Linked DNA regions of Rhinolophus ferrumequinum. The protein of the gene in region 1 purifies or fractionates together with the protein of each later gene. This does not show direct contact. Links are inferred from orthologs where the notes say so. Each region holds a gene or a part of one and is shown on either strand. Other genes may lie near its edges. The genes, in order: HAUS5 and HAUS2.

Region 1 (15,403 bases):
ATCATTCCACCCACATTTATTAGATGGTATTCTACTTTAAGAAAGACCTTCCCTTTATTTTCACCTTCTTTCTCTCTTTTTTCTGTCAGTAGGAACTACATAATTATTTTATAATTCAACATTTTATAATCTATAACTGACATTATTCATTTTCCTTCCCTTCTGGTTGTAAATCTCCCAGTTTTCTTACTGGGCTTGTCTACTTCTTTTCTCCCTCTACTCTGGGAGGCGTCCGTGGTACTGCCCTCCTGCCCTATCTACAGATAGGGTTTTCAGGGTACGGAGGCTTCCAACCAATCCCTATTAGGGTGGGCAGAGTCAATGTCCTGATAGACGGTGGAGTCTGGCTCCAAGCTCTGAGACTGGGAGGAGCTGAGAACCACAGGACCACGCCCCCTAATGGGGGCAGCCAATCAGGACTTAGGTGCTGGTGTCTCCATTGTGAAGAACTGACTTTTGACGGTTTTGGTCTTGGGATTCTGGTTAGAACAAGGGGAGGCATAGTGGGTTTGGATTTCTGTTTTCAAGACACTCAGGGTCTGTCTTTGGGTGGAAAGATCATGCACGGGAAACAAGTCCCAGATTCTCCAGCGGAGAATCAGGAGACAGCCGACACAGCCGACACAGCCATCACAGCCATCCCACCTATCCCACCTATCCCACCTGTCCCACCTGTCCCACCTGTCCCACCTGTCCCACCTATCTCACCTGTGGAGGCTAAACAATCACAAGAGAGTATACAGACACCTGAAGAACTGGCATTTTATGCCCCAAGTCACATGTGTCTGACCATCCTGGCCATAATTACCTTCCCTCCCCTAGGGATACCAGCTGCCTTCTTCAGTTACAAGGTAAAATAATGCCTAAGTTATGACTCCCTACCTGCCCCTTGCATCTGCTTCTGTCCTGGGATGTGGGTAGGGGTTTTCCCTCAGTGGCAGCAGGTCTCTGGCCATCCCCCAAGGGTGTCACAAAGCTGGACTCAGAAACCGGTATCTAAAGTTCCCATCCCTACAGACTTTACAGGCCAACAAGAAAAGCAATTGGGAAGAAGCTTACATCAACTCAGGGCGAGCATGTTGGCTGGATGTATTCGCCATACTCATCGGTGTAGGCATCATTTATTACTATGTTCTATTTGCATGAAGGCCAGGCCCAGGAGCCCACAGGTCCACTCCCTAACAAGACCCACCACCACGCCATTAACCAGCCACATTAGCCATCATGCAAGAAACCAACAGCTGAGACATCCCCTAGCCAGGAAACCTACCAGCCAAGGAACTCAACATCCAAACAATCCACTAGCCCAGGAACATCATACTACTTTATCCTCTTGGCTTCCAGAGCTGTCTTCATCCACCTTGGGGGTCCTCACTTTCATGCCCTTAATGTCCTTAGCTCCCTGATAATGGGTTGCTATTTCAGAAAAACATTTATTTAAACCAATAAAATTGAAGGGAATGTTTCAGCTTTTCATGTGTGTGCATGTGAGACATTGATTTCAGCTTTGTGAGAATCTGAGCAGAGAACTCAGACATAATGTTTCTGGACTTCTCACCTACAGAACTGTGAGTTAATAAATGGCTGCTGTTTTAACCCACTAAGTGTATGGTGATTTCTTACATAGCAATAGGAAACTAATGTGCTGACCATTATAAAAGAAAACTAGGAATCAATAACAGAAAGATAACAGGAAAATCTCCAAACACTTGGGAAATAACCTACGCAAGTCAAAATAATTCATGGGTGAGGGGAAATCAGAAAATGTTCTTAACTGATTAAAACTGAAGTACTTGTATACAGTACATCAAAATATGTAGGATGTAATGAAAGCAGTCTTTAGAAGTAAATGTACAATCTCAAATGCTTATATTAGAAAATAAGAACTGTCTCAAATTAACAATATAAGCTTCCAATTTAAGAAAGTAGAAAAATAAGAGCAAAACAAACCCAAAGCAAACAGAAGAAAGAAGAGGTAGGAGTGGAAATTAATGAAATTGAAAAGGGAAACAATAGGGAAGAACAATGAAATCAAAGCTGGTTCTTTGAAAAGACCAATAAAACTGATAAACTTATAAGACTCACAAAATAAAAGAGAAAACACAAAATAAAAGAGAAAACACAAATATCAAAAATGAAGGAGAGAATATCACTACAGACCCCCTGAAACATTAAAGTAAAAATAAGGGACCATTACGAACAATGCTTCATATGTAAATTTTACAACTTAGATGAAAATTGACCCATTTTTCAAAAACAAAATCCAAAAACTGATCGAGGACAAAGAGATTATGTGAGTAATTTTATATCTGTTAAAGAAATTGATTTAGTAACGGAAAACCTTCTGAAAAAAGAAATCTCCAGACCCAGATGGTTTCCCTTGTAAATTGTACCAAACAAATACCATCATTTCCACACCATCTCTTCAGAAAATAGAAGAGAAGGGACTATTTCCCAACTCATTTTATGAGGCTAGCATTATCTTAATACTAAACCCAGATAAAGACTGTGTACAGAACACTACAGACCAATATCTCTCATGAATATAGACAGAAAAATTCTCAATGAAATATTAGAAAACCAAAAACAGAAGTATATAAATAGCATACACCATCACCAACATGGGTTCTCCCAAGAATTCAAAGTTGGTTCAATACTAGAAAATCAATCAACGTAATTCACTATATTAACTGTCCAAAGAAGGAAAACCACATGATTAATTGAGGCACAAAAGGCAATTCAACATCCATTCACAATAAAAACTCAGCAAACCAGAACTAACAGGGAACTTCCTCATCCTGATAAAAGATATCTACAGAAAACCTATAGCTACCATCATATGTAATGGTGAAAGAGAGAAGGCTTTCTTCCTGAAATGTGCAATAAGACAAGGATGTCCACTCTCACCACTTCTATCCACATCAGATAGAAGTCTTAATCAGCACAAGAAAAAGAAATAAAGGGCATACTGATTATAAAGGAAGAAATAAAACTACAGTTATTTGCAGATGACATGATTGTCTATGTAGAAAATCCCAAAGGAATCCAAAAAAAAAAAAAAAAGCCTCCTAGAATACATCAAATGCGGTTAGCAATATCACAGGTTGCAATATCGACATGCAAAAATCGATTGTATTTCCATGTGCTATCAAGGAACAATCAGAAAATAATTTTTAAAAAAATACCATTTTCAATAGCTCCCAAAAAGCAAGTAGTTAGATGTAAATCTAAAGTATCATGTGTAGGGACCGGCCCGGTGGCTCAGGCGGTTAGAGCTCCATGCTCCTAACTCTGAAGGCTGCCGGTTTGATTCCCACATGGCCCAGTGGGCTCTCAACCACAAGGTTGCCGGTTCAACTCCTGCATGGGATGGTGGGGTGGGTGCACCCCCTGCAACTAGCAACGGGCAACTGGACCTGGGAACTGAGCTGCACCCTCCACAACTAAGATTGAAAGGACAACAACTTGACTTGGAAAAAAGTCCTGGAAGTACACACTGTTCCCCCAATAAAGTCCTGTTCCCCTTCCCCCATAAAATTTTAATAAATAAATAAATAAAAATAAAGTATCATGTGTATGAGCTCTGTGTTTAAACTATAGCTGCTGATGAAAGAAATAAAACCTAAGTAAATGGAGAGCCTTCTTATGGTCATGAATTGGAAGGCTCAACATCTCTCCAAAATTGAGATGAAATTCTAATGCAATTCCTATTAAGAGACCAGAAAAGATTTGTAGATCTAGAAATGCGTAGTCAAAATAATTCTGAAAAAGAATAAAGCTGGAGTACCCACATTACCCAATTTTTAAGAATCACTGTAGATTTACATTGATAAGACACTGTGGTATTGACAACTGGGCAGACACATAGATCAACAGCATGGAATAAGGACTACAGAAAGAAATCTACATATATGGCCAATTTATTTTAAAAAGAAATCCAAAGGCAATTTATCAAAGAAAGAATAGTATTTTTAATGGTGTTAGAATAACTGAACCACCATATGCGAAACATCATTGATTTTGACTAAAACCTCACATCTTCTATGACTCAATGTGGATCATGGATCTAAATGTAAAATATAAAGCTATCAAACTTTAAGATGAAAACATGGGAGAACATCTTCCTGACCCTTGGTTAAGCAGAGTTCTTAGATATGATACCAAAAACATGTCCCTAAAAGAAAGAAATGTAGATTTCATCAATATTAAAAAACTTTTGCTCTGTAAATAACACTGTTAGAAAATGATGAGATCAGCTACAGACCCAGACAAAATATTTGCAAATCACATATCTGACAAAGGACTTGTATCTAAAATATATAAATGACACTGAAACTTCACTGTGATAAAAAACAATTTTTAATTGCATTTGTTGGGATAACATTGGTTAACGACATTATGTAAATTTCAGGTGTACATTATATTATGACATTGGTATATTCTATTGCGTGCTCACCACCCAAAGTCTAGTTTCCTTCTGTTACCATATACGTATCTGACTTCCTTTGCCCACTTTGTTCTCCCCCCACTCCCTCCCCTCTGATACCCAAAATTCTCTTGACTGTATCTATGAGTTTTAAAACAAACCAATTTTTTAAGGGGCAAAAGACTTGAACTAACACTTCACCGAAAAGGATATACAATGGCAAATAGGCACAAGAACAGATGTTAATTCTTACAAATATCACCCTTCACAACCTAGACAACCTGACTACAACTTGTTAAATGACCCCTCACAAGGTACCTAAAGCAATCCAAGACTCCTAGGTACACATCACTCTTGCCCTAATGGTGTCTCCCCAAACACTCCCGGAATGATCAATCACTTGAGAGAGTAGAAAGAGCCTGAACTCCTTCAGACCAATCAGCAGCCATGTGAGTATTGGCTTCAATGCCCTATCATGCAACCTCCAATCAGCCAATAGAAGTGGAAAGATAGACTAGGAAGCGGGGCCTAAATGGTCTCCATGGTAATCCCTGCCAGGCTGAGGTGAAGGAGAGGCTCTATGTAGTGCCAAATCCAAATGCCCTAATGTGGGTGCCTGAAGGGAGGGGCGTGGAGTTTTGGAGGGTGAGGGTGGAAGGAAGAGAATAGTGGGGGTAGAAGGGGAATGAGGGTCAAGGATGGGTTCATAATGAGGCAGAGAAGGTGTTATAATTAGAGAAGTATTTAGAGGGAACACAAGTTTAGGAGAAATCAGAGGCTGTAGTAGGTGGACACAGGAGTTCAAAGGTCAGGGAGGTGGTTGCAGAGGTAGAGAGAAGGTCTTAGAGAAAGAGCAGGACTTTATAAGGGGACAGAGAAAGGCTATGAGTGACACGAAAAGGACTTCAGGTTTATAGGTGCTCAAAGAAGGTCTTAGAAGAACCAGGTAAGAAGTTATGTGGGAGTTTATGGATGAACAATAAAGGGTCATAGCAGGACCAGACAGATTCACAGGGACCAAGGGAAGGATATTATAAATGTCACAAGCAGAGAGCTACTGATGACATTATAAGTTTTATAGGGTGAGACTTTTATAAGAAACAAAGTTTTACAGATGAAAAGTGAGTGTTAAAAGTATTGAGTGAGGGTCTTCTTAGTAGGGTGTTTTATAGGGGTAAAGAGAAGGTTGCTTGGGTGACAATGAGGGTGTTATAGGAACAAAGTGTGATAGTGGATCTGTTGAGGTTTCAGGGACCTAGAGAAAATCACATATTTGACAAAGGACTGTGTCCAAAATATATAAAAGACCCTCAAAACTAAACTTGTAAAAAAAACAAGTCCCTGGATTGATCAATCACCCAAGAGTGTAAGAAGGACTGGCAGGCCATCAGACCAATCAGCAATCAGGCGAGTATTGGCTTCCCGCCATATCACAGACAATCTCCAACCAGCCAATGAAAGTAAACAGCCAGGATAGGAGGAGGGGCCTGCCTGGTCTCCATGGTAATCCCCAGCGGGTTGGAGTGAGGGAGAGGCTCCGTGTAGCCAGATCCAGATGCCCTAATGGGGGTGTTTCAGGGGACAGGGAGGGAATTTATGGGGGAGGGGGTACAGGTGGGAGGGAAGGAGTTAAAGGGGAATGAGGGGCAAGGAAGTCTTCCTAAGCAGGCAAAGAGGGTGTTATAAATTGAGAAGTATTTAGAGGGAGCACAGCTTTAAGAGAACTGGGAGGCTGTAATAAGTGGATGCAAAAGGAGTTCAAAGGGTCAAGAAGCTGGTTAGAGAGAACATCTTAGAGGGAGGAATGGCAGGCCTTTATAAAGAAACAGAGACAAGCTAGGAGTGACAGGAGAAGGACTTAGAGTTGTTTTTAACAACTAGTGCTCAAGTTGTTTTTATTACAGTTTAGTTTTAAGGGTCATTTATATATTTTGGATACAGTCTTTTGTCAGACACATGATTTACACATATTTTCTCTGGGTCCCTGAAACCTCAGCTGATCCACTATCACATAGGTGCTTAAAGAAGGTCTTAGAGGAGCCTAGTGAGAGCTTGTGGAGCAGGGTTGAGGAGGGAAGAGTTTATGGGTCACAGCAGGATCAGACAGATTCATAGGGACAAAGTGAGGGATATTATAAATGGGGCAACAGAGAACTACAGACATTAGAAGTTTCATAGGATGAGAGTTTTATAAGGGACAATAAAGGTTTTACAGATGAAAAGTGAGTGTTAAAGTATTGAGTGAGGGTCTTCTTAGTAGGGTGTTTTATAGGTGCAAAGAGAAGTTTGATTGGGTGACAGTGAGGGTGTTATAGGAACGAAGTGTGATAGTGGATCTGTTAAGGTTTCAGGGAGCACAAATGAGAATCTTAAGAGTCAGTAAAGGATTTTGGGGTGGGATGGAGACAGTGGAAGTAGAAGGAGACAAGAGAGACATGCTGTAGAGGTCTGCAAGGCAGTTATAGAGGAGGTTATAGGAGACAGGGAAAGGGTTAGAGAGTAATTATAGGGCATAGGGGGAGGTGGGGGCTGGGACTTCCAGGGGACAGGGAGGTATTAACAGGGGTAGGGAGAGGTTAGAAGGGACATGGCTGAGTTAGATAGTCAATGAGTTTTAAAGGGAGGGGTCAATGAAGAATTTATGGGAGACAAGGAGAGATGTGTTAGTGTGAAAAGGGAAGTCAGAGGGGATGATGGAATCCAGAAGCCATACTAAGTCATAACCCACTCTCTTTCCCCAGGCGTTTGAAATTTTGCCTGGCAAGCCCCCCAAAGATTACATGTGCCTATCGATTTTGGCCTTCTTCCTGTGTTTTCCCATAGGCATTATAGCCTTGATCTTCTCTATCCAGGTGAGAAGCTGCATCACGCCAGTCCTTGCCCTCCTCTCCCTCTCCATCCTGGCCATAATCCTGACTCAAATTCTTCCTTGTTTCCCGGCTTTGGGTTCAGGTCCTCACCCTACATCCGTACAGTTCTATGGTTTACTCCCGTACAATACCTGTTTAAGCCCATCTATTCCTGTTCTACCTCTCCCCTCAAATCAGACAAGGCACAGCAACAAGTGGAATGAACGAGCCTTGGCAGCTGAGACCTCCCACCAAGTCTTCTACATTGCAGTCATAGGGATTGTTATGGGAAGCCTCATCATATTCATCCTCTTGATTTTCTACATGATGGACTTATTTTCTCGGTAACATCCTCTACAGTTCATGAACAAACCAACAAATATATACAACTGTGTTACTAACCCTTGGCTCTAAGTATTCAGTTGGGCCAAATGGGACTGGTGCTCCTCACTGTCTGGAGTGTCAAGTGTTGTCAACTTGAGTGAACAATTTGAGGTGGTTGATGGGGGAAGGAAGTGGTAGTTCAGGCAGCCCACTGGGCCAGAGCTCAAGACCAACCTTGGGACCATGCCAAGAGATGGGGGCCATAAGAGACAGGGTAGGGCAGCCTCCACTCCTGCCAATATTTGTGCATTCATGCCAGAAATCTATTTATGTTGACCAAGGGCCTTGACTATGCTGTCTGACTCTAGGAACATAGTAGTCACCAGTCAAGTTCCAACCACACCCCCTCATAACTTACAAACCAGAGTGGAAGGTAAATATATCACCAGATGGTTACAGTCCCTATTTCAAGGTCTGCTCCACCTAATGCCCACCAGAGCCCAGGGCCTCATGCTGCATGAGCCCCCTCTACAGCCAACAACCCCCTACACTCAGGCCCCTCCTATCTGCTCCATAGCCCTACTGTGGCCCACCACTGTCCTCGGGCCCCACTCCTCATCCTGCCCCACGCTCCTCCCTGGGTTCCCAGCTTTAGTGTCACTCCACCACCTGCCTCACCCCCCACCCCCGTTTGTTTTTTCAACAACTATTTAGAGAGTCAGACTCTGCACTGGACACTGAGGACAGACTGTTGACCTAGGCAAGCATGTTGAATAAAAGGTCCCTGAATGTTGCCATTTTTCAGGGCTCCATCTGAGGCTGACTGCGCTCTCCGGAACTCCAGCCCTAGTATCCAGTGCTTTCTGGGGCACCCCACAGACCTCTTACACGCCCTGCGTCCCAAATTGACAAAACCCTGCTGCTCACTTTCTACCATCCCTACCTGGTGATGCGTCTATGTCCCCCACTGAATTGTGAGCTCCCTAGCATGGAGACTGGGGCTGTCTCAGCCACTGAGGTGACCCCAGCCTAGGGGTCATGAATGTTATGGAATGGTAAGGACAAATGAATCTGGAAGAAAGCATGACAGGGAGATACTGGGTCATGGTATCCCTTACTCAGACCTGCGACAAGAGCAGTAAGTTTGGCATCTCTCCTGGTTCTCATCCTCCTAAGATGAAAGTCCCATTTTGTTAAGAAAATCAAGAGAGACCTTAGGGACGTTTTACCTCATAGGGAACAACTGGTAGTGAGAGGAAGGTTGCAAAAAGCAAGTGAGCCCCACCGCTTTTGCACGCCCCCGCCATCGTCTTTCAACCCGACCCATTCTGGAGGAGTGAGAGATGCAGGACAGCTCCTTGCAAAGCCTGGAGGCCCTGGTCTACCCGGCAACCGATGATGTCACTGTCGGCGCGCTGGGGACGTCAGAGCCGGGCGCCAAGCTCGAAGAGGGTGCGGGAAGCGGCGGCGGCCGAGGCGCTGTCATGGAGTTAGTGCAGGAAGTGCGGGAACTGGTATGCTGGGCGGCGGAAGAGATGGAGGCACCCGAGGCAGCCCGAGCCCCCGAGTCGACGCTGCGCAGGTGAGGGCCGCTCTGGGAGTGAGGACTCCCCATGCTGGAGATGATGTCTCTGGAAGAACCCCTTCTTTACTGAAGATGCGCCTTCCTCCTCCTTCGCCCCAGGGACAATAACCCCTAAGGGCGCACCCCCCCCACCCCCCGTGTAGTATATATCTAGGAAGAGAATACTGAACTTGAGTGAGGACGTCCTGGCGGTAACCCCCACACTCCATCCCCACCCTTGAGACCGCCCAGAGTGAGGTCCCTGGCACCAGTGAGGGTCGTCCGTGATGCGTTAATGAAGCCCCCTTCCCGTGTTGTGTTTAAATAGGATCTCCTGGGTAAGGCTGTCCCTGCAGCACCCCACCACCCACCACCCACCCCAGCCAGTGAGGACACTCTGGAGTCAGCAAACCCATTGGAGATTGAATCTGTATGAGTGAACCCCGCATCCAGTAATGAAAGCACTTCCTGGCAGTATACCCCCACCCCCACCTCTGGAAGTAACTGGAAATAATCCTCTCCCAGAAGAAAGGGAGCACCCCACCAGAGAATGAAATATCCCCACACCCAGTGAGAGGCCCACACTCTCAGTGACCCACCCAGGAGGGAATATCTTACCCCAAAAAGTATGAACCCTCCCCCCCACCAGAAATGAGATTCCTTAGTAAAGACCTTCCCCACCACCCCGAGAATGAGAATCCTCCTACCTGGGTGATGTCCCCACAGGCTGTGTCTGGGCCAGGGGGCTGACATCTGGGCCTACGTCTTGCGGCACGTGCACAGCCAGAGGTGAGCCTGGCTGCATGAAGGAGGCTGTGGCCGGGGAGGGGACACAGGCATGTCCCACAGTAACTCTTCCTCCTACCTTTCCACTGCAGAAATGTCAAGAAGATCCGGGGAAACCTACTCTGGTAACTGGTCCTCAACACTCTCCCTTCCTATCTTCCCCAGTCCCATCCAGCCCTGTCCCCACCTTCAGCCTCACCCTGGAAGCCCCTGTCGTCCCCTAACTCTGGCCTCATTTCCTCAGGTATGGCCACCAGTGCAATCCAGAGGTGAGAAGTATGTGCTACAAGGTTTTTTTTTCATCCAGAAAGAGGACTTGTAGATCTTCTGCTCTAGGCCCAGGCTTGTGTTGGGTGACGCTGGGGACACTGACTCACAAGACAGCCCCAATCCATGCACTCAGGGTTTACAGTCCAGAGGGAGACAGTCAGGAGCTGGGGGGGGCGGGGTATGGACATGAGGCATCAAAGTTGGTGAGGGAAGATGAGAGAATGGACTAGTTTGGGAGAGATTCTGAGACCAGTGTGGGACCCAGTCAGTATGTGCCCGGAGCCCAGGTGACATCTAGGGGGAGGCTTCCAGGAGACCTCGGGACTCCTAGCTGTGGGCTCACTGGGACAGAGATGTGGTATCATCAGTACAGAGACGGGAAATGGGTTGGGAGGCTGATATCATTCTAGGAGGAAGGAGGGGGGCCAGTAGCGTTCCCTAGTGCTCTTCTGGAGCTAGGGGTTCAGACACATGACCAGCTTAGGAAAAACCCTCTACCACACCCCCGGGCGGGTGGGGAGCTTGGTGCCCCGCAAAGCACAGTCAGGCCAGGCCGAGCCCCAGCCAGGTGACGCATCTGATCCTGCACCTGATCCCACCAGGCACGTCGGAAGTTGGAGCTGGAAGCTGCTGTCGCCCGCCTGCAGGCAGAGATCCAAGAGTTAGACCAGAGCCTGGAGCTAATGGATCGAGAGAGCGAGGCTCAGGGTGACCCATGGGACTGGACAGATGGGCAGCAGAAGGGAGGCTGGGGAAGTACTGATGGCCACCCCTGTTCCTCCCACAGACACAGCCCTGGAGCAGGCACTGCAGGGCATGCAAGACACCCAGCGGCGTGCTCTCCTCCTCCGGGCACAAGCTGGGGCCGTGCGAAGACAGCAGCGTCGGCTCCAACATCCCATGCAGTGGCTACAGAATCAGCTCAGGCGCCTGCAGGACATAGAGAGGTGAGCCTCAGGTGCCCAGGGACCAGCCATCACCAGGCTGGGTAGACAGACCTTTTCCTTAGAGACCCCAGGACTCTGTCCTGACCCCTTCTTGAGTTCCAGATGTCTGAGCTCCACTCGTTAGGTTTTAAAGTCCTTGAGGCCAGGAAGTTTTGTCATCTCAACCACCTGTATTTCCAGTGACTAGAATGGTGCCAACTGTATATCTAGAACACCAGTGTTGGAAAAGAACAGTAAACAAGGGACAACCCTGCCCTCATGGAGCTTACACTCCGAGGCAGAGGAGGCAGATGGTAAACTAGGAAGCAAACACACCGTAGAATTACAGGTAGAGATAAGTGCTGTGAGGGAACGGTCATATGATAGAAGGTAGAAGGGAGGTGCTATTCTAGGTAGGATGGTCAGAGAAGGTCTCTCTGAAGAGGTAACATTTGAGTTGGGGAAGGAATTTCCATGAAGAGGGGACAGCCAGATCAGAGGCCCTGAACTTGGGATGTGGGAAGAATAGCCAGGAGGGCAGTTCAGCTTAAGTATCATAGGCGAGAGGAACAGCATGAGGAGGTGAGATTGGAGAGGTGGACAAAGCACCATGGAGGCGTGGGAATTCTACTCTGAGGCTGAGTTGATGCCCTGGCTTAGCCAGTTACACCTGTGTGACCTTGGGCAAAATTTGTGCCTCAGTTTCTAACATCTATAGAATGGGAATAATATTACCTGCTTTATAAGGTTGGCATGATAATTAAGTGAGTTAAGTCATGCAAAGTGCTCAGAAGAGTTTGTTACCCATTGCTGTTATTCTGAGGGTGATGAGGACATATCATATTGTCTTTGAGGTTTTTGAGCAGAACAGTGACTTGATCTGTCTGAGGTTTTAACAGGATCATTAGCTACTGGTGGAGAGCAGACTGAAGGGGGCGAGAGCAGGCAGACCAGTGAGGAGGCTAATGTAGTCATCCAGCCAGATGGCAGTGGCCTAACTTTGGAGGTGGCCCCTGAGCTCCAGGGTCAGTGATCCCTGTAACTAGCTTTGCTGGCAGCAGGAGGGGGCACAGATATCAGTTCTCCCAGCTCCCTCCTTCCAGGGACCCCAGCCCCAACTGCACTCCTCTCTCCAGGAAGGCCAAAGTGGATATAACCTTTGGACCCTTGACATCAGCAGCCCTGGGCCTAGAGCCTGAGGTCCTGGTAAGAGTCCTGGGTCATGGGGGAAGGGGTGGGGACCCAGGTGGACCCCTGGGTCCTCCTCATGCCCCATTCTCTTCCCAGGGTGATGTCCGAACAGCCTGTACCCTCCGAACCCAGTTCCTACAGAACCTCCTGATTCCTCAGACCAAAGGAGGCAGCTTCCTGTGAGTGTCCCCCAGCTCCCAGAAACCCTGGAGAGAACTTGGGCTTTGGCAGGAGTTACGTACTTGGCTGTTAATTCCTCGGACACTGGGCCTCTGGGCTGTGTCAGCCCCAGGGCCTTCCCTGACAGGGCTCCCCGGCGAGGAAGAGGTGGAGACAGACCCATCACACAGTGGTTAGGGCTATTGGGGAATGGGGAAAGAAGCCTGAGGGGCTCTGGGTTCCCAGAGGAGACACCCTGCCCAGTTAAGGACACAAGAAGGATGGGTTCTCTAGGGAAGAGACTTAGCAAGGGTAAAAGGCTGAGTGGGTTTTCCAGGCAAGCAGCACATGTGTAAGGGCCCAAGGCCAGCAAGTGGGTATAAGTGGGGAACTCGAGTCTAGCCAGCATAGATGAACTTGGTTTTCTCGTCTGTAAATTGGGGGCAGTGACAGCTCCCACTTTGTAGGGTGGTGGTAATCACAGATGTGTGTTGTAACATTCTCTGTCCCTTCCCCCAACCCCACAGAACCTCTCGAGATGACCACTTTGGAGCTTCCTACCAGCAGTGGCTTAGCTCAGTGGAGGTGAGGAGGGCTCTCAGAAAAGGCCACGCCCACTGCCCCATGATCAAACCTCAGGATGCCAGCACCTGATTCTTTATCGCAGCCTGGTCCCCACAGGGTCCGAGCTCACCGCCCTGCCCCCATCCTGCCCTGACTTCACCCCTCCCTCTACTAGACACTGTTGACAAGCCACCCTCCAGGCCATGTCCTGGCCGCCTTGGAGCACCTGGCTGCAGAGCGGGAGGCAGAGATCCGGTCCCTGTGCAGTCCGGACGGGCTCCGAGATACAGAGATAGCCAGGTGTGAAGTAGAGTGCTTCTGTAGTCAGGCAGCACGGGTGATTGGGTGAGCAGGGACAGGGTCAGGACCTGCTCATGAGGGTGGAACTGAAAGCAAGGGACCGAACCCCGGTGGGCTGACATTGGCTACCCTCGAAGGTCCAAGCAAGGAGACAGGCTCCTCTCTCAGCAGTGTCACCCATCCCTAGGTCCGAGGAACCAGACCAGTCAGACTCCAGCCAGGCCCTGCCGTCCATGGTGCATCTCATCCAGGTGACCGGCAGGCACCCTTCCTAGACTCCATCCCCTTCCCATGCCAAGACCACTCGATCCCCTCACCCCCAGGGACGACACCCACCCTGACTTTGTACCCGTGCCACAGGAGGGCTGGCAGACTGTGGGTACACTGGTCACCCAGCGGGGCCCGCTCCTGAAGGAGCATCAAATTCTGACCCGGCGCCTGCAGAGCCTGATGGAGGAGGTGGCAAGATGTACCCCCGAACCCAGCGAGAGGTGAGGGGGCTCCCTGGGCAGAGGCCTCTGGGCCATCTCTCTCCTTAGGGTCTCAGGATACTAGACTTTTTCTGCCCCCGTGGTTCCGTCTGCCTCCCGGCTCTGTGTGTTTGTGGCTCCTACAGATCTTATCTCCCCGCCTCCACTGTGAGTCTTAGTCACCTTCCTGTCCCTTGCTCTCTCCTGCTTGTCCCCCAGGCAGGCATTGCTGCTGGAGCTCCGGAGCTGTGGCCTGTGGGCAGAGCTCAAGGCCCTGTGTACCCAGAGCCACGAGCTGGAGGAGGCAGCTGTGCAGCGGCAGCTTCTGCTGCAGGAGCTACAGGCCAAACAACAGCGGATCCTGCACTGGCGCCGGCTGATGGTGAGAAGTGGGACCCCGGGGGAGATGGCAGGGCCTGGTGGCCGGCCGAGTGAGGCTGGGAGCCTTATGATCCAGAGCTGGGCCTCCTGGTCTGGGGTGAGGCCCAGGGTGAGTGTCTCAAGAGGAAGCAGGACCTGTGCAAAGGGGAGGGCAGAGCGAGAGGCTGGGAGGTTGGAAGGAAAAGCAGTTTGTTTCGGTTCCAGGAGGAGACACAGGAACAGGTCCGCTTGCTCATCAAGGGCAACTCAGCCAGCAAGACACACTTGTGCCGGAGCCCCGGGGAGGTGAGCTGGGATTTGGATAGGACCCAGTCTCCTAAGGAAGGGTCTGGTGCTCTCAGGCTGTCCCTCCTACCCCTTTCCTACCGCACAGGTGCTGGCTCTGGTTCAGCGAAAAGTGGCCCCCACCTCTGAAGCCGTGGCACCACAGAGCCAGGAGCTGCTTCACTGTCTGGAGGAGGAGGCCCGGCATCTGCCCCACCTTCTGCTGGGCACCCTGCTTCGGCACAGCCCCAGAGGGTGAGACTAGGACCACCCCTCCATCCCCTCGCTAGGATGACTGTCAGTCCCTGGGCCACTGGGTCTCAATAATCCCAGACCCCCCGTTTTCCCAGGCTGCCAGACCTCACCCTCAGGTCCTCAGCCCCACTCTGGAATCCTAGTCCCCAGACCCACCTCCAAGTTCCGGGGCCTCCCGAGCCCACCTGTCAGCCCCCAGAGCCTCTGGAACCAAGCTTCCCTCTCTGTCCCACCCAACCTGGACTCTCCCCGCAGGTTGCAACCCCTGCCCACAGTCCTGCCGTCCATCCACCAGCTGCATCCTGCATCCTCAAGGGGCTCCAGCCTCATAGAGCTAAGCCACAAGCTGGGGTTACCTCCAGGGAAGGTGAGTACCTGTCCCCTAGGTGAGTACCTGTCGTCCCACTCCTATCCCTCCCAAGGTGACTGTCCTTCACCCCTCCCTCCAGGCTCCAGAGCTGCTCCTTCCAAAGGCCACCTCTCTTCGCCAGGACCTTCTGTTCCTCCAGGACCAGCGGAGTCTCCGGTGCTGGGATCTTCTCCACATGAAGACCAGCCTATCTCCAGGACCATCTACCCAGGGTAGGCCTGTCCATTCCCAGGACCGTCAGCCTCCAGAACTAATCACGACGCCCCCTGCTGCCGCAGAGCCTTGTGTGCTTCAAGCATGTCCA
Region 2 (15,060 bases), on another chromosome or scaffold:
TTGGTTTGACTCTACCAAAGATTATTCCTCCATTTCCCTCCTAAATAGTTCCCTTTTGCTATCCTTAAAACCAATACCAATTTCATTTTCAACTATTTTCTCTTACTTTTGCTACTGAAACCAAACCCAGTGCTAAATTCTTTGTGTTTTTCAACTCTACCCCTAGTTCAGTTTTTATAGCCAGAGTCATATTCTTCACAAAGTCTCTTTTCTCATCTTTGCTTTTAATAGTCTATACAAACATTAAAAAACAAACATTTGTCTTATAAGCTATTTCTGATTATTTCAATATTTTCCCCAGAATTCAGTTAATAGCTGCCAACTGCCTTTTCTTTTAAAATATCTTTGTAATGCTTTTTTTTTTTTAACTTTTTATTTATTTTAAGTGTGTTTTTCCAGGACCCATCAGCTCCAAGTCAAGTAGTTGTTTCAATCTAGTTGCGGAGGGCGCAACTCACAGTGGCCCATGTGTGTATCCAACAGGCAACCTTGTTGTTAAGAGCACCGCGCTCTAACCAATTGAACTAATTGGCTGCCCCTTCTTTTAAATTTTTATTTTGAAAACATTTCAAACGTACAGAAAAGTTTCAAGAATAGCTCATTGAACTCTCATATACATTTCACCTAGATTCACCAACTGTTAACACTTAGCTGCATTTTTTTTTTGCCTCTTTCTCTCCATACTCTTACATATATTTTTGCTGATGCTTTTGAGAGTAAATTGCAGATATTAGGACCTTTTACCCCTAAAACTTCAGCAAGTATTTCCCAAGAATAGGAACATTCTCTTATATAACTACATTAAAGTATCAAATTCAGAAAATTTAACACTGACACAATACTACCAATATTTAATACGGCCCATATTTAAACACTAAGTATTCCAATAATGTCCTTTATAGCAAAAAAGATTTTTCTAACCAAGTATTCAACCTATGACCACACTGTGCTTTAGCTGTCATGTCCCTTTAGGCTCCTTTCATCTGAAAAATTCCTCAGCCCTTTTTTGTCTTTCAAGCTCTCCTGACTTTGAGGAGTTCCTACATTGGTCACTTTTTATGCAATTTGCACTAGTCAAGCCAACAGGACTTCTATTTGGGCACAGAAATAGAAAACTTGGTTAGCTTTGGGGAAATACCAGGAAAAATAATGGTATATCATAATGCCTGGTGCTTATTTAAGGTAATCTAAGAAAAAGCTGAAATTCCAATGATTACCCATTTAACCAAACCACTTACCCAAAAAGGAAGGATGAACAACATCAGCTGTATCTTTTTCTAGTCTTAGAAGTTCAATTTCCAGGTTTTTCTACAGTAAAAACAAAAATAATATTTAGGTCACTCAGAAGTATCCTGATGTAAAGGCTTAAACTCTGATAAAAATGGACACTCTTTAACCCAGGAATATTTAAGAGGGGTGGGAGGATGATTTGTTATGACAGCCCAGGGGATTTACTGAAGCTTTTCATTTTGGTGTTCGAGCCATGTGCTCCTGCTACTACTACTAACTGCTACTATTACTATTACAAATACTATTAACTACTATAAGTAAACACCTACCTGGCTATGTACTAGACACTGTTCTAAGTGCAAGAGAATTGCTGGTGGAACGAACTAAGATTTTGTTTTCCTGTACTAGAAGTATAAAGTAAAAAGTTCAACATAATTTACCTGGTTGATTTCAGCTTGAATATTTGTGATCTGCTGTAGCCTGGAGAAGTTCACAAAGCAAGAAGCTGATTTCTTAGATATATTTAGCATCTCCTATTGAAAAGTGAACAGAGAAAGCAATAATATGTCACAAAAAAGTTTCTATGTGCATTGGAAAAGCATGCCCATGGATCTAAAACATGAGGATATATAATGTCCAACACTGGCCCTGAAAAATGTAGTATAGAGTAGAACAGTAGCGATGGGTAATTCCTGTTTTTAAAGCCACCAATATCACAAAGCCTTTGCCCCAACATTTAAAAATTAAGAATAAACGAAGACTTAATCACTTTGCATTACTTCCTAAAGTACCAGGCACAATTGAGTTGCATTACTGATAGCTTATCAGAGGATTCCGAGGTTGGTAGAGAATCACCTCTACACAAAAGACCAAGACCTAAACTCTCAGACATTCCTGGGGCTAAGATCAAACATTCCCCTCCCACCCTTACCCCCCAGGGGTTATTTATCTGACTCATTAAATGACTTCTATTGGTTACACATCGTTCATATTATCTCTTCACATTCTGACTCTCAGATAAAGGGATGTTTTGTCCAGGCATAATTACTCTTCTAAAAAGGCTACCCCGTTTTTATCCTTTCATTCCATTATATTGCCTCCTTAAATTGCATGTTATCTCAGAATAAGAATGTTATCTTGTTCATCCCTTGGCTTCATCCATAATTTTCTGTATCCTTTTCTGCTTTTCTAGAATGTTAGTACAGGAAAGAACTTTAGAGATCATATAGGACAGGGATTAGGAAACTAGAGCCCATGAGATAAATGTAGCCCACTGCCTGTTTTTGTACAGCCTATGGGCTAAGAATGGTATTTGTATTTTTTAATGGTTGGGGGGAAAATGAAAAGAAAAATAATATTTTGACACATGAAAATTATATCAAATTCAAGTTTTAGGGTCCAGAAATAAAGTTTTATTGGAACTCCACTTCTCACTCATTTACTTATTATCTCTGGCTGCTTTCACAATGTAACAGCCCACTTGCAACCATGTGGACTGAAAAGCCTCAAACGCTTACTCTCTGGTCCTTCACAGCAAATTTGCTGACTGATAATAACCAATTTTATAGACATTTGTTAAGATAGGTAATGGAAAAAAAAATCAAGAATGAATGAAACAAGCTCTTTGCCCTTAACAAGCTCATGATGGATGGGAAGAAAAAAGTTTTCTAGATAGAAAGAACTTATTATCATAAATACTCCAAACTGTGTTAGTACTAATAGATATGTGAGAAGGAGAAGATGAATCTGGAAACATAGTTTCCTGCATATTCATGGAAGATCTTGATAGCTATGACACGCAATCATAATGAAGAAATGAGAGCAACTGCAAATTTTCTGCTGAAGAAGTAACATGATTATATACAATACATATTTTAGAAATTTAAATGGGGGTAGAATGAAAACTAAAACCAATGGGGCTGGGGAGAAGAAGGAGTGGGGAATGAGTACTTAATGAGTATGGGGTTACCACTGGGGATGATAAAAAAGTGGTTTTTTTGTTTGTTTTTTTTAAAGATTTTTATTGGGGAAGGGGAACAGGATTTTATTGGAGAACAGTGTGTACTTCCAGGACTTTTTTCCAAGTCAAGTTGTTGTCCTTTCAATCTTAGTTGTGGAGGGTGCCGTTCAGCTTCAAGTTGTTGTCCTTTCAGTCTTAGTTGTGGAGGGCGCAGCTCAGCCCAGGTCCAGTTGTCATTGCTAGTTGCAGGGGGCGCTGCCCACCATCCCTTGCGGGAGTCGAGGAATCGAACTGGCAACCTTGTGGTTGAGAGCCCATTGGCCCATGTGGGAATCAAACCGGCAGCTTTCGGAGTTAGGAGCATGGAGCTCCAACCGCCTGAGCCACCGGGCCAGCCCGATAAAAAAAGTTTTGCAAATAGTTTCACAACATTGTGACTGTACTTCATGCCACTGATTTGTATACTTTAAGATGGTTAAAACTGTAAATTTCATGTTATGTGGATTTTGCTATAATAAAAGAACCTCACTCTGGTAACTAGCCAACAAATACAACAAAAATAAAACAAAAAACTCTAGTGGAGGGTAAACTGGAGGATGGGTATGTAGACAGGTGGCTGCTACAGCATTTCAGATGAGAAGATAAGAATGTGAACTAGGTCAGTAGCAGTTAAAAAGGAAAGGAAGGCAGAGATATGAGTCCCTGGGAAGATGTATTTGATAAGTCCTACTAGTTGTCAGGGGTAGTTGGGGTCAAGTTAATACTGACTCCAAGGATCCTGTTTCAGGTGACTGAACAGATATTTATGCCATTCACTGAGGTAGACAACACAAGATATTTTTACTGACGGCAAAATTGAAGATTGGTGAGGTTAAGTATTACTCCAACTTCACACTGCAAATTGTTATCAGTGTTGCAATGATACAATCAAATCTACTGTATTTCCATCATATCAGCCTGACTTGTCTTTCTGCTCTCTCTCGGTAGAAGGTGAATGAAAGTAAAACATCTCCCATTTCTCATTGTAACTTACTCACTCTCTGGTATCTTTCCATGTCTCTATATGTATTCACTAATCTTAGTTGCACATTTGCAAACTAGTAAACTACTGGGTTCAACAACTGCGTAATGGAGCTTAGCCAAGAACTTGTACAAGAAACCAGAAGGAAAATAAGAATGTTCAAGAAGGGGAGAGCCAAAAAGGAGGAACAAAGAGCAGCCAAATTCCTCTAGTAAACAGAAATTCTAATTATTTGAAGAATGTTAATTAGCCCTACACCTAAATAAAATTTTTAAAAAGCAAGGATTAGGGAATAGAGAAAATTCTTTACCATTGACTATTGCCATTATATATTATATACTTTACATGCCACTGGAGCAAAGGGACCCTAGAGAATGAAAGGAATCCTGAGAAAAGGGGTCTGTTTATGGTATTTGTTTACTTTTTCTAGGCACATGCAGCTGAAATCCAGGACGTTTATGCTTAATATAAAAATCCTAACAACACTGTGTAACACACACACACACACACCTGTAGGCATCCTTTCTTCTTTTTTATGTCCCTTCTTTATACTGAACTCTAGTTGGCGGACATTAAAAGGGGAGCTGTACAACAGAGAAGTTAGAGCAGAGGCTCTAACATGGGGGTGAAAGTGCAGAGGAGGACAGGACACATATCGAGGAAATACATATATATGTAAATAGTAGAGTCTGGTTTTTTTGTAGGTCCAGATCCTTATCTTATGTGTTGCCAGTAGAGAGAGCTTTGATCAAGATGTCATACTCAATCAAAGTTGCCTGAAAAATATCTAGAATGTAAGGCCACTAAAGCAGTCTTAGGGCATAAATGAAAGCAAATACCTCATTATCTTACAGACAGTTAACCCTACCTTTCTTTCACTAAGTAATTCTCTAATGGATACAGCAAAACAGAAGAAAGCTCAAACAAGCTGTTTTCTAGAAGAGATGTATCGTGTCACAGTTTTAAGCATCACTCTTAATTTTTAATGCACATGGGATAAAGTGCACTTAAGGGGTGGGCTGTTTAAAGGGATCACATAATACATCATTTTGAAAGAATCAATGCTGAATCCTAATAAAGGTAGGTTTTCATATGCAAAATTTGTTGAAAGTGAAATCATGCTACAGACCCGTAAGTTTCCTCATCGGGACTCGCTGTGCAGTAAGATTTTAAAATGGTTTTAAGGAACTATGGATTGGCAGGTCTTACCTATAGGGAAGACAGGTAACTGTCTAATTATTGTTTCTTGAAGGACAGACACTAGGAAGAGTCCTTCCCCCAAACAACCACCACTCCAACAAACAGCTCATCCATCAATGCCTAAAATTTTCTCACCAGAGACTTACTCCTTTAGTTTAGGCGTTTATACTTACACCAATAGTTCCAGATGGATAAGTCCCAAATGTCTTACATTACAGTATGAGTTATCAAATTATTTTGTTACAGAACTGGTAACAAGTGAGAGTACTAGGCAACTTGGTATGAAGGAAACACAGGAGAGAAGTAAGGAAGGTGAAAACTAGTGAGTGCTGTGGTATGTTTTGTCTATTTTCCAATACATTCATTACTACTCCTCGTTTCCCCCACAATCCGTAAGGTCTTGTTACTAGGTCTTCAAGTAATTTAAGAGTTTTTCAACTGAAGTTTAAACACTTTGAAGATAGTGTCACAGTATCATCTATCACAGTTCATCTTAGGGATGATCACTATGTCAGAAAAGGGAGAGCTCTAGTATCTAATGCTACGTCATTAGTTGAGTGACCTTGGGCAAATTTCTTGGTCTCTTTAGGTCTTAGCTTCTTTACTTTTAAAATACTGTGAGGCAGTAGGATTCTCTAATGACTCTTCTAAGCATAAAAAGAGTATTTTCCATAAGTCTTCCATCATGTTTATACTGCTAATCTCTGCAGATGATTTCACCTTTCTACTTTTTTGTTTCCTTTTTTAGTGAAATTCTCAACTTCCTCATCTGAAAATTCTTTTCCCTTATTTCCCTTAATTCCACTTTCCCTGGTCACTTCTGCCACCTGCATTCTATTATTCCTTCACATCTTCCATTGCTCCCTCTGTTGGCTCCTTCCATTTGGCCTATGAACATGTCTTCTGGTCCAACCTAAAACTACCTCCCCTTGGGCTAATCTCCCTGGTCTCTCCTTCTCAAAATTAATCTTTTCCTCCATTCATGTTCTAGCCTTTCGGGTCTTTTTCCCCAATACGGATTTTTTTTGGGGGGCCGGGGGGTACCTTAAAAATGTGACCTTCCCCTGGAGCTCTCCTGTACCCAGAGCCTTCCGCCCCAAGTATCTTTCAGCATCTCACACAAACGAGCGTCGTTTGCGAATGTATATTTTAACTAACCTAGCCGTATTTCCCAATCCCGCCACCCATTACAATCTAGAGGCAGTTATCACTGGACAAAAAAAGCGGGTGAACACTGGTCTTTACTGTCTCCCACGAACTGACCTGGGATAGTCGCCTGCAGATAAGACACTTGACACGTCGTCTACTCGAATTACCATCTACTACGCTTAAGACCCATTGCAGAATGGTATCTGCTGTTGCCTGGAAGGGGCTCCATCTGCCTCTATTCTAGTACAGCCCCCAGCCAGCACCACCGCTTGAGTGATGTTCGGTCACCACAGTGGGCAACCCCTTAATGACGCCATCGCTGCCCTCCTACCTGAGTGACCAACCCCGATGCTACGAAACGGCCCAGCAGTAGCCTGGCAGCGTTTGGCTCGGACGTCTCGTCCCACGGGTTCGCGGCCTCCATGGCTCAGACCCACCTCTCCCGGTGCCGCCGAAAATAAGTAGAACGCAAGGCGCGAGCGACGCGCAGCTCGATGACGTCACAGGCCGTTTCCGTTGGGGCGGAAGCCGGGAGAGCGCATTCCCAGCGAGCGCGGGTCCTGGGTCTTCTGTGGAGCGGGCTGTGAGCGGAGGGGTGGGAGGCGAGTCCAGGGCTCCCTGATCCTCTATAAGCTCCTAGCGGCGTGTAGCCGCGGAACAACTGCAAAAGTGGTCGGGCTCTGTTTTTCCCTTTCTTCCTTGCCACTCTTGGGTTGGCCCCCAAGATCCAGAGATCTGCAGGTGACAGCCGGGGCAGGAGACCCAGCCGGGAGGCCGACGGGGTGGCTGGGTTCCTGGACCGAGGGGGTGACAGCTGCACTTCTTTCCCGCAGGGACCGGAGCTGCAGAGCTAGGATGGGAAACAGTGCGCTCCGCGCTCATGTGGAAACGGCGCAGAAAACTGGAGTCTTTCAGCTTAAGGACCGTGGGCTGACCGAGGTGAGACTGGGAGGGACCCGACCAGAGAATTTAAAGGGAGAGGGACGGCGGGGGCAGTGAAGTTAATTGGTGAGGGATTCTCCGTGCTGTGAACCCTTTTCTCCAGTTCCCCTCAGAGTTGCAGAAACTGACGAGCAATCTCAGGACCATCGACTTGTCCAACAACAAGATCGAAAGCCTACCGCCTATGATTATAGGGAAGTTCATTCTGCTGAAGAGCCTCTCCTTGAACAACAACAAACTGAGTATGGCTTTTGCGTCTGGGAAGGTTTTGCTACTGATCAGCTGTTAAGAAGGGTGGTGTTCTCTCACAAGCTGATTGTTGTTGTTATGAAATCGTTCAGAGAGCTCAAGACGCAGGAGAATGTCAGAGTCCTTGCAGCTTTCTCTCGTAATTACATCTACAAGCCTCTTCTAGTGGTGTAATGATTGGTATTGGGATAATTTGAAGGGGAAAGCCATCTTTGTCATCTAAATACCTAATTTTGTTGCCAGTTTGGAAGGGGGGGTGTGGAATGGGAAGGGGCGGCCCTTCCAAATCCCACAAAATTGCTGTCAGATTGTGCGGTGGCCCCTTTACAAAGAGCCATTATACACATAACTGCTTTTCTGCATTTCGATGGCACCCTCATTTCCGAAGTCTATGTTGGTAAAAATGCAATACTTAAAAATGGCACGTGAGGATTGTGTGTATTAACAAGGGGCATAGCAGGCTGCCATATAGTTTTTATAAACTTCATCAAAGTTGTTTTTCAGCTGTCAGGTTCACTTTATTTATTTTTTTGCCAGCTTTTCTTCCTGATGAGTTAGGCAATCTGAAAAAACTAGAAACGCTAAGCCTCAACAATAATCACTTGAGAGAGCTGCCGACTACCTTTGGGCAATTGTCAGCGCTGAAGACCCTGAGCCTCTCTGGGAACCGGCTGGGAGCACTACCACCCCAACTTTGTAGCCTGCGGCACCTGGATGTGGTGGATCTCTCTAAGAACCAGATTCGAAGCATACCTGACATAGTGGGGGAGCTGCAGGTCATCGAACTCAACTTCAACCAGAACCAGGTCTAGAGGTTAACGGGTTTTAGCTGGTTGTTATGTAAAATGTCATCATGGAGCTGGGTATCATGGGCTGGACTAATTTCAAAGCCCAAAGTGCCATAGAGTTAGTTGAGACACTGCGTAGGTATTTTTTTGGAGGGTGGGATGGGTAACAGTGAGATAATTTCAAGTTAAACTGTCTCACAAATCTTGAAGAGTTCTTCAGATCCTCCTCAAGCATGCCTCTAGTCATCTGGCAAGGAGCTAGCTATGTCAGGAAGAGTTGAAAAGAGGCTTCAACTCCTAGGTTCTCAGAGTTGGACATCAAAGGTAATTCAGTTGTCCTATTTTTGACGTTTGTCAAGTATGTATCTTGCTTTTGTTGAAAAAACTCTCAGTGATAGGCATTCTGGAGACAGCCCATTTCATAGTGGACAGCTTTGATTGCAGTATTTGGAATTTGTTTCCATTACTCTGGAAGCTCTTTGGTTAATATGCATCTGACTGGAGAAACAATCTTTGGTTTAGACAGAAGGCACAGATGGTAAACATTAAACATAATGAAGACTACCAGGTGGCCTTTAGTTTTTCTGGGGCTTCTAGATCTATAGTCCAATACAGTAGCCACTGGCCACATGCGGCTATTGAAATTCATTAATTAAAAAATTCAAGTCCAGCTGCCACTAGCTATATTTTAAGTGGTTCAAAAGCCATATGTGGCTAGTGGCTACCATATTGGATGGCATATAGAACATTCCAAGCATTGCAAAAAGTTTTATTGGGACGAAACTACTCTAGATTGTAGTGACCTTACATTATTATGAAATTTAGTCTGTCTTAGAGGAGATTGGCCTCATCTTTTCCTTAAGTGGATATTCTTGTATGTTCTTGAGCTTTTTAGAAAAAGAAAGTGAATATTTGGGAAAAACTTAGAAACCATTGTTAAACAAGGATTAGTGGAGCACTCACTCCATTCACCTACGCTGATGCCTTTATCAGTTCTCAGATCTTAGCGTGCATCAAAACAACCAGGGGAACCTGTTAAGAGATCACTGGGCCCCTGCTCTCAGTATTTCTGATTCAGTAGGTCTGGGGTGGGGTCTGAGAATTTGCATTTCTAACAAGTTCTCCGGTGATGATTGGAGGATGAGGCAAAATAAATATAATTTGGTGACGTGGAAAAGAGGTGAATCAAGATAACTGCTTGTTGTTAAGGTTGAGAGCCTAAAAGAGTGGTGCTATTGAGAATAAACATACTGAGTTGATTATGCTGGTGCATCACCCAAATGGAAATGTTATACTAAAAACGAGACACAGGCGTGGAATAGAGGTCAGAAGTTTGAATGTAGACAGATTCTGAGGTCAGAATGATAGCTTTAAGAAAGGATGAGCTTTGTAGGAGAAAGTTTAGAGAGATCAAATATTAAGTATTAGGGACTACTGCCTGAAAAATGTCCATAGAAATAAGAAGGGAAGCCAAAAACCAGGAATAATTCAAGAGGAAGAAAAACCCAGTACTTAGATACAAGAGTTTCAAGGAAGGGGTAGATATACAATCACACATTTTTATACACATAAAAGACTTCCAGTAAATAAACCAAAATGTTTATGGTGGTGGATTCCAGGTAACTTTTTTCTGTAAACTTGTGAGATTCTCAAATTTCTGCTTTTATCAGAAAATTTTACTTCCAAAAATCCAATGGTGGACTTTAAAAAGCCAAACCCCCCTCCCCCCAAAAAAAAGTGGAGGAGTAGTTAACAAAAGCCAGATGACAGAGGCTTCTGGAATGAGTAGGTAGTGAGAAAATGGAGGCGGTAAAAGGAAAACTAGGACACATAGTCAAGATTTTTTGTTTTAATTTAGTAAAAAACCATTACAGTACTTATGCTTTTTCCTGTTATTGTTTTTGGTTGTTCAATAGATATCTCAGGTCTCAGTAAAGATATCTTGCTGTCCTCGCCTGAAAGTTCTTCGCCTCGAAGAGAACTGCTTGGAGCTCAGCATGCTTCCACAAAGCATCCTTAGTGATTCCCAGATCTGTCTGCTTGCTGTGGAAGGCAACCTTTTTGAAATAAAGAAACTTCGAGAACTAGAAGGCTATGATAAGGTGGGTATTAGTGTACTTCTACATTTCTAGTCTCTGCTCCAGAGAACAGAACAGTGAAGTAACCCACATAAATGTTTACAGCTAGAGGCTGTCTGTATAATCCTGTTTGTCAACAGGATTTGTTTCCCATTTTGGAGATGTTCTAAGAATCAAATTCCTGTACCAAGATATATTGGTGCAAATTCTTGTATTATACCAAGATAACTTTTTCTCTAGATCATGTATGGTGAAGCATCTTTGTCTTTTGATAGGTTTCCTATTAAAACACTGAAAAATTTAAAAGACCCCAAAACTATGTACTTTAAATTTGCATTTAGAATAGGTAGATTTTGTAGGAAATGAAGGACCGTATCCGATAAAATCTAAATTAAAAAAATCATATAAAAACCCAATTCCCAAATAGGCTACTATTTGCTCATGCCAAAATACCCCATACATATTTTTCTTTCATGATTTTTAGTACATGGAGAGGTACACGGCCACCAAGAAGAAGTTTGCATGATGTTCTCCAGGAGCATGGGAATCCATACAGGACATTGATTTGGAACCTGTTGCAATCGGGCTGAATCAAAGGCGCTTGTTGTTGTCAAGGGCATCTGCAGTGAGCTGTTGATACTCCAGGAGGTTATAATTTTATTTGATCTTTTTCCTTTCTAGAGCTTATCTCAAATAAGCTAAAAGGAATCAAGAGACAGAAAGAGTGCTCCATTTTGAGTCATGTTTAGGGCAATGGACAATGCTGATCTTCAAAATCATCGTAATGTTGGCTTTAAGGAACCAGTAGCAAGTTGCTATTTCTACAGTGAGGGGGTGCTGCCTGGTAATAGAATAGCTCCACACCTCAGCTTGAAATTTCATATTTAGTTTCAACGTGTCAACTTTCATAAAATCAGCTGCCATTCCATCTCTGTGTTAGCATTTCACATTTTTTGAAATTCAAATAATTTGTGAAAGGCTACTAAAGATTTGTGATTTTATTCCAGTCTATCAGTTCAGTTCCAGTATTTATACTTGGAATTTAGGATGTACATGAATGTGACTGTCCTGATTAGAAGTGTACTTTGTCAGAGAAGCACCAATACAAGAGTAAGATATGTTCCCCAAGGCTGCAGTAGCAAATTCTAACTACTGCAGGTGCCTTATTGGTAGAGGGCTCCGAAGAGCTAAAACCATATATGCAAAACTTGTAAGATACAAGAGGTTTTAATAATCAAGATTTTCCTGAATCTTTGTTAGAAATAATGTCTCATTTCTGGTAATCCTTTTCCCTTTTTGTATTTATAACTATACTAATCAAATTACCTATCAAAACACTACTACGATATTTTAAAACAACCTATATTTATCAAGTTTATTCTCTGAAGGAGAGAATACACTAAATAAAGAATTTGTAATAAACTTTGGCTGGAAGAAAGGTTAATCCTTTAAAAGGAAGACATGAGAACTTTAACCTATAAGTGCTCCTTTATTTGAAAGTAAACTGATTAGGAAGAAGCGTTTCCTGTTCAGGTTGCATGAGTACTGTGATGCCTTCATGTGACTGATGAAACATTTTGTGGTATCGGACCCATGCTGATTAAGAAATACTGAAGGTACAAAGGTATTATATGTCATGTATTGACAGTTCTCATTTTACAAACCTAGTTTAACCTTTAAGTCAAGAGATCTTAGCAGCCTAGTATTTAATATATACGAGGAAGTCTCCTAACTTTAAATCTTTTTCCCATGTTATTTTGTTTCTCAATTTGGGGAGGAACGGGGTGCCAGTTTATCATTATTAACTGAGTTTTTAAAAATAAACTTTAATGTTTAATTAATCTTATTGGTCTTCTCACTGAACAATTCACATTTCTCTAAATATTTTACCAGTACTTATCATCTACTAAATCAGCACTTACAAATTAAACCTCAATGTCCCCATCCCTACGACAGTCACCACTTGCACAACTTAGACCCAGACTGATTTCCAAAAACTTTCTTCACTATCCTTTGCCTACCGAGTAATACCAGATTGTTCTGCTCTTTAGACACACAGTGCAATGTCTTTCACCTTTAGCTGCCTTTACATTGTTGGCTCAGTCAGAAATGCTCTCTTACTAACATGCTCCTTCCCTATGTCTAAGCCCCTTTCTAAGTCTAAGCCAAATTAATTGCTCTTCCATCTGTTTCAACAGCACCTCTCACATTCTATATTCAACTGTCTCTTGCTAAACTGAGCTCTTTGAATGCAGGAACTATGTAAAGCAATACACCCCAAGTTATAGTACACAAGTATTTAGACTTAAATATGAGCTAACAAAGTAGGTTGACTTGTGGGCTGGAGACCCACATTCTAGTGACCACTACTAAGTCACCCACATTCTTTTAGAGTTTGCGTAGAAGTCAGTGTAGAATACTGACTACGATCATAAGTCTTGGAGTCTGAAAAGATCCTGGTTTGAATCCAGTGTCATTTACTAACTATGAATTTGAGCCATTTAGTCTCATCTGTAACAGGCAATACCTGCTACCCTCAGGTAAATTATGAGGATGTGGTGAAAAGATACATAAAAAGCATTCAGCATAGTGCCCAGGACAGAGTGAGCACTCACACGGTGCCATTTATTTCACCTGTAAGGTATTAAAATAGAATTTACCAAGTGGTACAGAAAAGAAAGGCTTGGAGCAGACATCAAGTTAAAAAGGGTAAAAAACAACAACTAGAGAATAAGGAACTTGGGTATCAATCTGAAAATTACAAATCTGACTAGGAATGTAACTGGGATAACTTAGAATTTTAGTAAGAAAGTGACCTAAAGAAACTAATTCTAAGTACAGGTGAGTATAGGATGTCTGGGAAATAGAAATTTAAGTTAAGGGGATGTTCATAATCCACACATGGCAGGAAAAGATACAGAGCTGAAGTGGTAATTAAAGGATGAATTTAGAACTGAAGGAAGAAAACAAAGGCACGACTATAGGGGATAAAGATCATTGTCATAATAAGACTGGAAACTTGAAGAAGGAGACTACTGTTAAAAAAAAAGATTTCAGTAGGGAATACTGTTTTTTAACTCCTTAGTTATAAGTTAGTATTATGCTCATGGTCACATAGATAGTAAATGACTGAACCAAAATTTGAATTCAGGTGACTCCAAAGTTGTGTTAACCACTTCAGTTACCTTTCAGAAGTAATGGAAACAAGTGTCCAAACAATGTTACAGAAGAAAATCAGAAAAGACTTTACGTCAACAGCTTCTATTTCTAGTGTATTATGGGCCTAATTTTTATGGCCTCATCCCTCTTCTTTCTCAGTAGCACAATCTTTGAAAAGCTTTGTAATCTGAAATTCATGGATGGGTTTTCAAGACCAATTTATGCATGATTCATGTTTGTGTGTCTATTTCTCTGGGGAAATAAGCTGTGTTGTCTTTCATCAAATTTACAAAGGGATCCTTGACCCAAAAAGAGCTCCATTCTAGAGAGAACAAACAGTAGCTATCATTTATTAAGCTCTTAGCTGGGCCCTGCTCTAAGTGCTCTCCCTGCATTATTATCATGTTGAGTCTTTGCAATAACTCTGAGGTAGGAATTGTTAATCCCCATTTACAGACAAGGAAACTGAAGCACAGAAATGGTCTTACAGTCACTCAGCCAGCAAACGGCAGAGCTAGAGTGTAAATCCAGACAATTTGGTGCTTAAGCTCACACTTACCAATTATACTGTGGAGATAGCATATTGGTATTCTCAAAACTTTCCTTTAGCTATAACCGTTAAAAAATATTTTTTAAAAATGCTTTTAGGAAGGGGATTTAGGTATAGAACAATCCTCAGTGTTTTAAACCTTCTTACTTTATACATGTACCATCACCTGCCTAACTACTCCTTTTGACATGGAGCATATCTATTACAGAGAGCCTAACTGAATCTCACTTGAACTAGTTTCCTCTTCAGCCTTTGAAAATTCCCATCTTATCTGTATCTTCTCAAGTGGCTTATAGTTCTCTTTTATAAACATTATCCTTTCAGTCACTAGTGTATTTAGGCGCAAATGAATAAAAAACTAGTTAATGATTAAAATGTACCTCATGACAAATCATAGAAAGGAGAATGCTGTCAGTATTTCCAATAAAAATGGGAAAGATGCCAAAGGCAGCTTTCTGTTGGATTGCTTCTTGATTTATGGACCTTTCTTTGCTCAATTTGTTAAATATGAGCTAATGAAATGATTGCCCCTCACGCAAAACAGTCATAGAAACACACTTACCTATTTGAAAGAACAGTTCCATTAGTTACAAAATTTAATTGTAAGGATTAAGCAATGGTTATTGGTCAAACCAATTACATTAATAGCTTTGAAGTGTACAGGTGGCTTTTTTTTGCTACCTTTTAAATAAAGGTGACAAATACCAATCAGACTCTTATAACACTGTTTAGTA

What was found.
Region 2: the proteins of HAUS5 (region 1) and HAUS2 purify together in Homo sapiens (affinity purification with mass spectrometry; 5 studies listed by BioGRID and IntAct, with this or other methods). This does not show direct contact. The link is inferred for Rhinolophus ferrumequinum from reciprocal best matches to the Homo sapiens genes HAUS5 and HAUS2.

The regions. Positions count from the first base shown.
Region 1 is NC_046298.1:36,005,658-36,021,060, forward strand, and holds the start of HAUS5 (HAUS augmin-like complex subunit 5), read left to right. Parts: upstream 1-9,040; 5' UTR 9,041-9,083; coding exon 9,084-9,181; intron 9,182-9,889; coding exon 9,890-9,952; intron 9,953-10,041; coding exon 10,042-10,074; intron 10,075-10,193; coding exon 10,194-10,218; intron 10,219-10,821; coding exon 10,822-10,927; intron 10,928-11,006; coding exon 11,007-11,166; intron 11,167-12,281; coding exon 12,282-12,351; intron 12,352-12,432; coding exon 12,433-12,515; intron 12,516-13,022; coding exon 13,023-13,080; intron 13,081-13,234; coding exon 13,235-13,359; intron 13,360-13,546; coding exon 13,547-13,610; intron 13,611-13,719; coding exon 13,720-13,850; intron 13,851-14,048; coding exon 14,049-14,211; intron 14,212-14,414; coding exon 14,415-14,495; intron 14,496-14,583; coding exon 14,584-14,729; intron 14,730-14,984; coding exon 14,985-15,096; intron 15,097-15,178; coding exon 15,179-15,311; intron 15,312-15,403.
Region 2 is NC_046289.1:62,989,176-63,004,235, forward strand, and holds the start of HAUS2 (HAUS augmin-like complex subunit 2), read right to left. Parts: upstream 7,048-15,060; 5' UTR 6,985-7,047; coding exon 6,892-6,984; intron 1,764-6,891; coding exon 1,671-1,763; intron 1,309-1,670; coding exon 1,239-1,308; intron 1-1,238. Other genes in the region: LRRC57 (leucine-rich repeat-containing protein 57), read left to right, coding at 7,416-7,499, 7,606-7,744, 8,289-8,557, 10,456-10,641, 11,102-11,143.